2 linked regions of the Saccharomyces cerevisiae S288C genome follow. Each later gene encodes a partner of the first gene's protein in a complex. Each region holds a gene or a part of one and is shown on either strand. Other genes may lie near its edges. The genes, in order: SEC63 and SEC72. A codon is read from its position in the direction of its gene.

Region 1 (4,669 bases):
AAAAATATGAGAACGGTAAAACTAGAGGAGAATTAAGCATTGAGACACATCCCTTATTGAAGAAGTTTTTCAATAGAAACGCGCATGGAAACTTTGATATATCTGTGGATAATGTACAGCACTATGGTGACTGGACTCCATTTCTGGCAAATGGAATTCCTGTATCTGTAATATCTTCTGATTCTACGAGAAACCGTGACACCCCAACTGAAACATCTGAGGATAAATTTGAACGTGTTGAGAAGATTCTGGAAGACGAACAGAACCAACAATCTGTCAAGGATTTGCTAGTATATCTTTTACATATTAGTATGGAATTGATTGATGACCCGCTACTTCATTTTGACATAATAAGCTATGTTGAAGATATCGATGAAAGATTGCAAAGGTTAGAGCAAGCATACCCTGAAAAACTAAACTTCACATCAATAATCAAAGGTTTGTTATTTTGGAAGAAAATCGGTAGCGAATGGGCGTCATGGACTCAAGGTTGGGAGAACATAGTATGGTCGCATGGGGATGGTATAGAGCCCTCCTTACTTTCAATTAATAGGTGGACATGGAATAAAAAATTGACTAATATTGGTAGAAGAACATGCTCTCCGGCGGGTCTACCTAATAGATCATTTTATAAGAACGTTTTGTTCGGACCAACATTGATACAGGAGGATAAATCTAAAAATGGTGGAAATGTAGATTTCTGGACATTTCCAGGAGTGATGGATGCGATTTACGATGATGACTGGAAGAGGGCTCAAGAACAAATTGACCTTATTGGCAAAGTACTCCATCAGTCTGCTGCATTGTTTGTCGAAGAGACTAATGACATCGGGTATAAATAAATTGAACTGAAAGAATACATATTGTAAGTATAAGGAAGTATGTTAATAAAATTTTTTCTTTAATTATGTAATACATGGCATGCAAGCATTTCTTCTTTTTGGGATGCTTTTCCTCTTAGTATCCTATGTTTGTATATATCTTTTTGTTAAATGACACGAGAGAAGGAGACAATAGGATAATTTTGAAATTTCTGTATCACAATCGTATCTAGTTTCTTCTCTACACCTTTGTTTTGACGCGATGTTTCCTCTTCAAAAAGCTTCCCAAGCAACTTAGATTTTCCAATCTCCTGATTATTTCGTTTTTCTTTAGAAGATTTTTTAGAATGCCTGTGCAAAGAGTGATAATCTTTAACTCTCAGGGAATGGTCGTCACAAAATCTGATATATACCGAAGAGACTTCTTCTTCTACATCCTCTTCAAGAACACTAGGCCTAGTCTGCATCTTATTACTCCTACCCCCTAATTTGTCACTTCTTATAGTATTTTTATCGTGAAATATTATTTTAACATCAGCATGGTTTGCTGTGACTTTCTTGATCTTTCTAACGGTTTCTGCGCACTGTTGGTGTTCAACTTTGTGGATGCTTCCGTCTTTTCTCTTTAAATTATTGCCAAAAATTTCATTGTGATAGAACCTTAGGGCATATTTTCTTTTGCTTAATTTTAAACGAGACAAATTGTTCCTTTGCAGTACATATACCCTTGGTGATTCTTGGCAACCCTTGGGAAACCTTGCAATCAGTAGTGGTTTCTTTTTGGAACTTCCTGGACATAGTCCAGACGGTTCATTTATCATGTCCTCAATGTGTATTTCGGAGAGGGGGCTCAAGTTCCAGCGAGTATTATATTGGTGAATGTGAAGTTTGTGGACATGCCACCTCCTCTTTAATTTCCGGCCACTGAACAGTTGACACAGTCGAAAATATAGGTAAAAAAAATGACCAGATTTGGACTTTCTCGGTGAAGGTGGTGCTCTCATGCTTCTTTTCTATTTTGAGTTATTAACGTCTTAGCTTTATAATGTCACAATCTGACTTCATTACTGACACAATCGCTCTTATAACGCGAATTGGTCACTCGTTACGGAAAGGCGTTTTCTGAAAAATTTGTCTTGAACACGTCGAAGATCACTGAACGAATAAAAGATGCGACTGGAACAATAGTCAGTTATAATTGACCAAAGAAGGCCTTCGCAACAAAATAAATATACTGCATATTACAGCACAATGCCTACAAATTACGAGTATGATGAGGCTAGTGAGACGTGGCCGTCCTTCATTTTAACGGGGCTCTTGATGGTCGTCGGGCCTATGACACTGCTTCAAATATACCAAATTTTTTTTGGGGCCAATGCTGAAGATGGGAATTCAGGGAAGAGTAAGGAGTTTAATGAGGAAGTTTTCAAGAACTTGAATGAAGAATACACCAGTGATGAAATCAAACAATTTAGAAGGAAGTTTGATAAAAATAGTAATAAGAAGTCCAAAATATGGAGCAGGAGAAATATTATAATTATTGTGGGTTGGATCTTAGTTGCAATTCTTCTGCAAAGGATTAATAGTAATGACGCGATTAAAGACGCTGCTACAAAATTATTTGATCCTTATGAAATCCTTGGTATCTCTACTAGTGCTTCCGATAGAGACATCAAATCTGCTTATAGAAAATTATCTGTTAAATTTCATCCAGATAAATTAGCAAAGGGCCTAACACCTGATGAGAAAAGTGTGATGGAAGAAACTTATGTTCAGATTACGAAGGCTTACGAATCCCTTACTGACGAATTGGTTAGGCAAAACTATTTGAAATACGGTCATCCAGATGGCCCACAATCTACTTCACATGGTATCGCTCTACCAAGATTTTTGGTAGATGGAAGTGCATCTCCATTATTAGTGGTTTGTTATGTTGCGCTACTAGGTTTAATCTTGCCATATTTTGTTAGTAGATGGTGGGCAAGAACACAATCGTATACTAAGAAGGGAATACATAATGTGACGGCTTCTAATTTTGTTAGTAACTTAGTCAATTACAAGCCATCTGAGATTGTCACCACAGATTTGATCTTACACTGGTTATCATTTGCTCATGAATTTAAACAATTCTTCCCGGATTTGCAACCAACGGATTTTGAAAAACTTTTGCAAGATCATATTAACCGCAGAGATAGTGGTAAACTTAACAATGCGAAATTTAGAATAGTGGCCAAATGTCACTCTTTGTTACACGGTTTATTGGATATTGCTTGTGGATTCAGAAATTTAGATATTGCATTGGGTGCAATCAATACTTTCAAGTGTATTGTTCAGGCTGTACCATTAACACCAAACTGTCAAATCCTTCAATTGCCGAACGTAGATAAAGAGCACTTTATTACCAAAACCGGAGATATTCATACATTAGGTAAATTGTTTACTTTAGAAGATGCCAAGATTGGTGAGGTTCTTGGAATAAAGGATCAAGCAAAGTTAAACGAAACTTTGAGAGTTGCATCGCATATTCCAAATCTAAAGATCATCAAGGCAGACTTCCTTGTCCCAGGTGAGAACCAAGTAACACCATCATCTACCCCATACATTTCTTTGAAAGTACTGGTTCGTTCTGCTAAACAGCCATTGATACCAACTAGCTTAATTCCTGAAGAAAATTTAACAGAACCTCAAGATTTTGAATCTCAAAGAGATCCATTTGCTATGATGAGTAAACAGCCACTCGTCCCATATTCCTTTGCACCATTTTTCCCTACAAAGAGACGTGGGAGTTGGTGCTGTCTGGTAAGTTCTCAAAAAGATGGTAAAATACTTCAAACGCCAATTATCATTGAAAAGCTATCTTACAAGAACTTGAACGATGACAAAGATTTCTTTGATAAGAGGATAAAAATGGATTTAACCAAACACGAAAAATTCGATATAAATGATTGGGAAATCGGGACCATAAAAATTCCATTAGGTCAGCCTGCACCTGAAACTGTTGGTGATTTCTTTTTTAGAGTAATCGTTAAATCCACAGATTATTTCACTACAGATTTGGATATTACCATGAATATGAAAGTTCGTGATTCTCCTGCAGTGGAACAAGTAGAGGTGTATTCTGAGGAGGATGATGAGTACTCTACTGATGACGACGAAACCGAAAGTGATGATGAAAGTGATGCTAGCGATTATACTGATATCGATACGGATACAGAAGCTGAAGATGATGAATCACCAGAATAGATATAAGTGATTAGTATAGTTTTTCATTTTAGCTCTTAGACGTATATATTTCATCTTTATAAAAATAGATACATGTGTATACAAAGCAAAACCAAAAAAAAAAAAAAAATTTTTCAGCCATCTGTTAAGAAATGTGTTTTTTCAATAAGATAGCATCTTGTTCGTCGCCATTTACACCTTTTATGAAATTGTTGACAGTTTCGCCCACTTGTTCGAAGCCATGAGCTATAAACCATTGCTTTGTAAGATCATCCACTGCTGGTAAATAGACAAACACGTTATGTTGATGACATTCTGAGCATTTGTCTTCTGCAAACTTCAGTAATTTTGAACCGATGGATTTGTGCCTATAATTAGGCAACACGCCCAAAAATTCGATTTGAATGCCCTTGAGAGATAGTTCGTTTTGTTTTTTAGGAACTAATTTAGCAACCAAACCACCCACTGGTATTTCACTGTAATAAGCCATCTGTGTGAAATGTACATCCTTCTTCGAAGATGGCTTTTTATTTTTTGCAACTAAGCTATCCTCAGCGAATAATGCACTGAAGAAGGCATCTTGATATAAGTTTGGTACTGTCACATGAGCTAGTTTGGTTAGCATG
Region 2 (3,008 bases), on another chromosome or scaffold:
AACAAACAGAACCACAAGCTGAACAAGATCATTATTTTTGGCTTTCTTCCTCTCATCTTTTTATATTCGAATCCAGTACAATAAAGAAAAAGCAAAATACACTACGCACTCTTTGTAATCAGCCACACAAAATGCAGAATTTATTTTTTAAACAAAAAATACAATTGTACATAGACACGTCTTTATCTTTCCTATTACTACTATTCTTTTATTTCAATAACTATTACTTTCTAAGTATGACCTACGCTTCTTTGGTAAATAAATAATGATCCGTTTATGAAGGACATGCGTGGTTCGTCACCTTAGGATAATATCGCTCTGGACGAAAGCTCATCCCACCGAGATAGAAAAAAAATTTTCGTTTCTTTTTTCTTTGGCGAAGATTTTGAAAAATTTGAACTGTATGATCAACTTTTCCTCACCTTTTAAGTTTGTTTCGTTTTTAAACAGGAAGAACTGCTCCTTCAACATTTTTCCCTCAATCGATTTTTAGTCCAGTACAAAAGGAAAATCAAATAAACTCATTTATATTATAAATGTCTGCCCCAGCTGCTAACGGTGAAGTTCCAACATTCAAACTAGTTCTTGTCGGTGATGGTGGTACTGGTAAGACCACTTTTGTCAAGAGACATTTGACCGGTGAATTCGAAAAGAAGTACATCGCCACCATTGGTGTCGAAGTGCATCCTTTATCCTTTTACACCAACTTCGGTGAAATTAAATTTGATGTCTGGGATACTGCCGGCCAAGAAAAATTCGGTGGTTTAAGAGACGGTTACTACATTAACGCCCAATGTGCCATCATCATGTTCGATGTTACTTCCAGAATTACTTACAAGAACGTTCCAAACTGGCACAGGGATTTAGTCCGTGTTTGTGAAAACATCCCAATTGTCTTGTGTGGTAACAAGGTCGATGTCAAAGAAAGAAAGGTCAAGGCCAAGACTATCACTTTCCACAGAAAGAAAAACTTGCAATACTACGATATTTCTGCCAAGTCCAACTACAACTTTGAAAAGCCTTTCTTATGGTTGGCCAGAAAATTGGCTGGTAACCCACAATTAGAATTTGTTGCTTCTCCAGCTTTAGCCCCACCAGAAGTCCAAGTCGATGAACAATTGATGCAACAATACCAACAAGAAATGGAACAAGCTACTGCTTTGCCATTGCCTGATGAAGATGATGCTGATTTATAAGGGACAAACGAGAACAAGCTTTCTTTTTTCCCTACCCTAAACTGTATACATATTTACATTCATCTCGATATAGAAATTCAATAAAAATCCACATGATTTTGAAGATTTTATAATTGCAACAAGAAAACACAAACTAACTGGTACTCCTGTCTTTTATAAAACAGATTTAAATATATAACAAATAGTTGAATGTGAATATGCTGTGATTTAAGTATATTTAAACGTATTTGGCTTGTCTAATATTATATTTTTTAGATCGTTTATGGATCGTTTCAAACGGATGTAGGAGCACACGTAACAATTAGATTATATCTTTGAACATAAAACCAATAGCCTTAAAATCAAAGAAACGTCTCCTTCAACTTGCGTTAAAGGCATACCAAAGCAAGCTTATTCAACCATGGTTACCCTTGAATACAATGCAAACAGTAAACTGATCACTGCGAGTGATGCTGTTGTTGCACTATCTACCGAAACTAATATCGATCAAATAAATGTTCTCACTACATCTTTGATTGGAGAAACCAACCCAAATTTTACACCACAACCGAATGAAGCTCTAAGCAAAATGATCAAGGGTTTATTTGAAAGTGGTATGAAGAATTTACAACAAAAAAAATTGAATGAGGCATTGAAGAATGTTTCTTTAGCAATCGAAATGGCACAAAGAAAAAGAGCGCCTTGGGAAGCTTTTGCTATTCAGCTACCAGAGCTACACTTTATGCTTCGTAGTAAAATAGATTTATGTTTAATACTCGGAAAGCATTTAGAGGCGTTGCAAGACTTGGATTTCTTACTTGGTACGGGACTTATCCAACCAGACGTATTTGTCAGGAAGGCGGACTGTTTGCTAAAATTGAGACAGTGGGAAGAGGCTAGGGCAACATGCGAGAGAGGTTTAGCTTTAGCCCCAGAGGATATGAAACTTAGAGCCCTTTTAATAGAAACTGCAAGAAATCTGGCCGAATATAACGGTGAATAAGGTGCATAACCGAAGATATTTTAGCCTTTTCTTGATATGTCTCTATGCTACACACGACTACATAGCAAGAAATTTTAGATAGATTCAAAAACACATAGCAAGCCCATTATCATATATACTAAGGAATAGCCTTTATGAAAGGCTTTGAACTATACAGCTTGAGTATATGATACCTCTGCTTCCCAACCGCAAGCTTTTTTTCTTCGTGATGCTGAAAAAAAAAAATGGACATAGAAAAAACCTTCATAAATGAAACAGACCATTCATTACTCGTGCGGAACCAGTAAACACAACACGCCAACTTTCGAACTTTTGCCCAACATAAGATGTCCTCTCAAGCATTCACTTCAGTACATCCGAATGCGGCAACATCTGATGTGAATGTTACCATTGACACTTTCGTTGCTAAGTTAAAAAGAAGACAAGTGCAAGGTTCATACGCCATCGCCTTGGAAACTTTACAACTGTTAATGCGATTTATCTCTGCAGCTCGTTGGAACCATGTTAATGACCTTATTGAACAAATCAGAGATTTAGGTAATAGTCTAGAAAAAGCTCATCCTACTGCTTTCAGTTGCGGTAACGTAATTAGAAGAATACTGGCTGTTTTGAGGGATGAAGTAGAAGAAGACACTATGAGCACAACTGTCACATCCACATCCGTTGCTGAACCTTTGATTTCCTCTATGTTTAATTTATTACAGAAACCGGAGCAACCTCATCAGAATAGAAAAAATAGTTCAGGGAGCTCTAGTATGAAAACCAAGACTGATTACCGTCAAGTAGCCATTCAGGGTATCAAGGATCTTATAGATGAGATAAAAAACATT

The links.
Region 2: the proteins of SEC63 (region 1) and SEC72 are in contact, whole or in part, in a cryo-EM structure (PDB 7KAO), measured with the Saccharomyces cerevisiae proteins. Residues at the interface, in NP_014897.1 of Saccharomyces cerevisiae: Pro367 (codon at 3,171), His390 (codon at 3,240), Thr391 (codon at 3,243), Gly393 (codon at 3,249), Lys394 (codon at 3,252), Thr397 (codon at 3,261), Gln520 (codon at 3,630), Lys521 (codon at 3,633), Asp522 (codon at 3,636), Gly523 (codon at 3,639), Lys549 (codon at 3,717), Phe587 (codon at 3,831), Arg589 (codon at 3,837), Thr600 (codon at 3,870), Asp603 (codon at 3,879), Ile604 (codon at 3,882), Thr605 (codon at 3,885); in NP_013395.1 of Saccharomyces cerevisiae: Ile138 (codon at 2,008), Glu157 (codon at 2,065), Arg160 (codon at 2,074), Ala161 (codon at 2,077), Glu164 (codon at 2,086), Arg165 (codon at 2,089), Leu167 (codon at 2,095), Ala168 (codon at 2,098), Leu169 (codon at 2,101), Tyr190 (codon at 2,164), Asn191 (codon at 2,167), Gly192 (codon at 2,170).

What each region holds. Positions count from the first base shown.
Region 1 is NC_001147.6:804,427-809,095, reverse strand, and holds SEC63 (protein-transporting protein SEC63), read left to right. Parts: upstream 1-2,072; coding exon 2,073-4,064; downstream 4,065-4,669. Other genes in the region: TRE2 (putative zinc metalloprotease), read left to right, coding at 1-842; OSW1 (Osw1p), read right to left, coding at 989-1,825; peptide alpha-N-acetyltransferase subunit NAT5, read right to left, coding at 4,189-4,669. UniProt on the Saccharomyces cerevisiae protein: Acts as a component of the Sec62/63 complex which is involved in SRP-independent post-translational translocation across the endoplasmic reticulum (ER) and functions together with the Sec61 complex and KAR2 in a channel-forming translocon complex.
Region 2 is NC_001144.5:718,959-721,966, reverse strand, and holds SEC72 (Sec63 complex subunit SEC72), read left to right. Parts: upstream 1-1,596; coding exon 1,597-2,178; downstream 2,179-3,008. Other genes in the region: Ran GTPase GSP1, read left to right, coding at 537-1,196; GCD7 (translation initiation factor eIF2B subunit beta), read left to right, coding at 2,505-3,008. UniProt on the Saccharomyces cerevisiae protein: Acts as a non-essential component of the Sec62/63 complex which is involved in SRP-independent post-translational translocation across the endoplasmic reticulum (ER) and functions together with the Sec61 complex and KAR2 in a channel-forming translocon complex.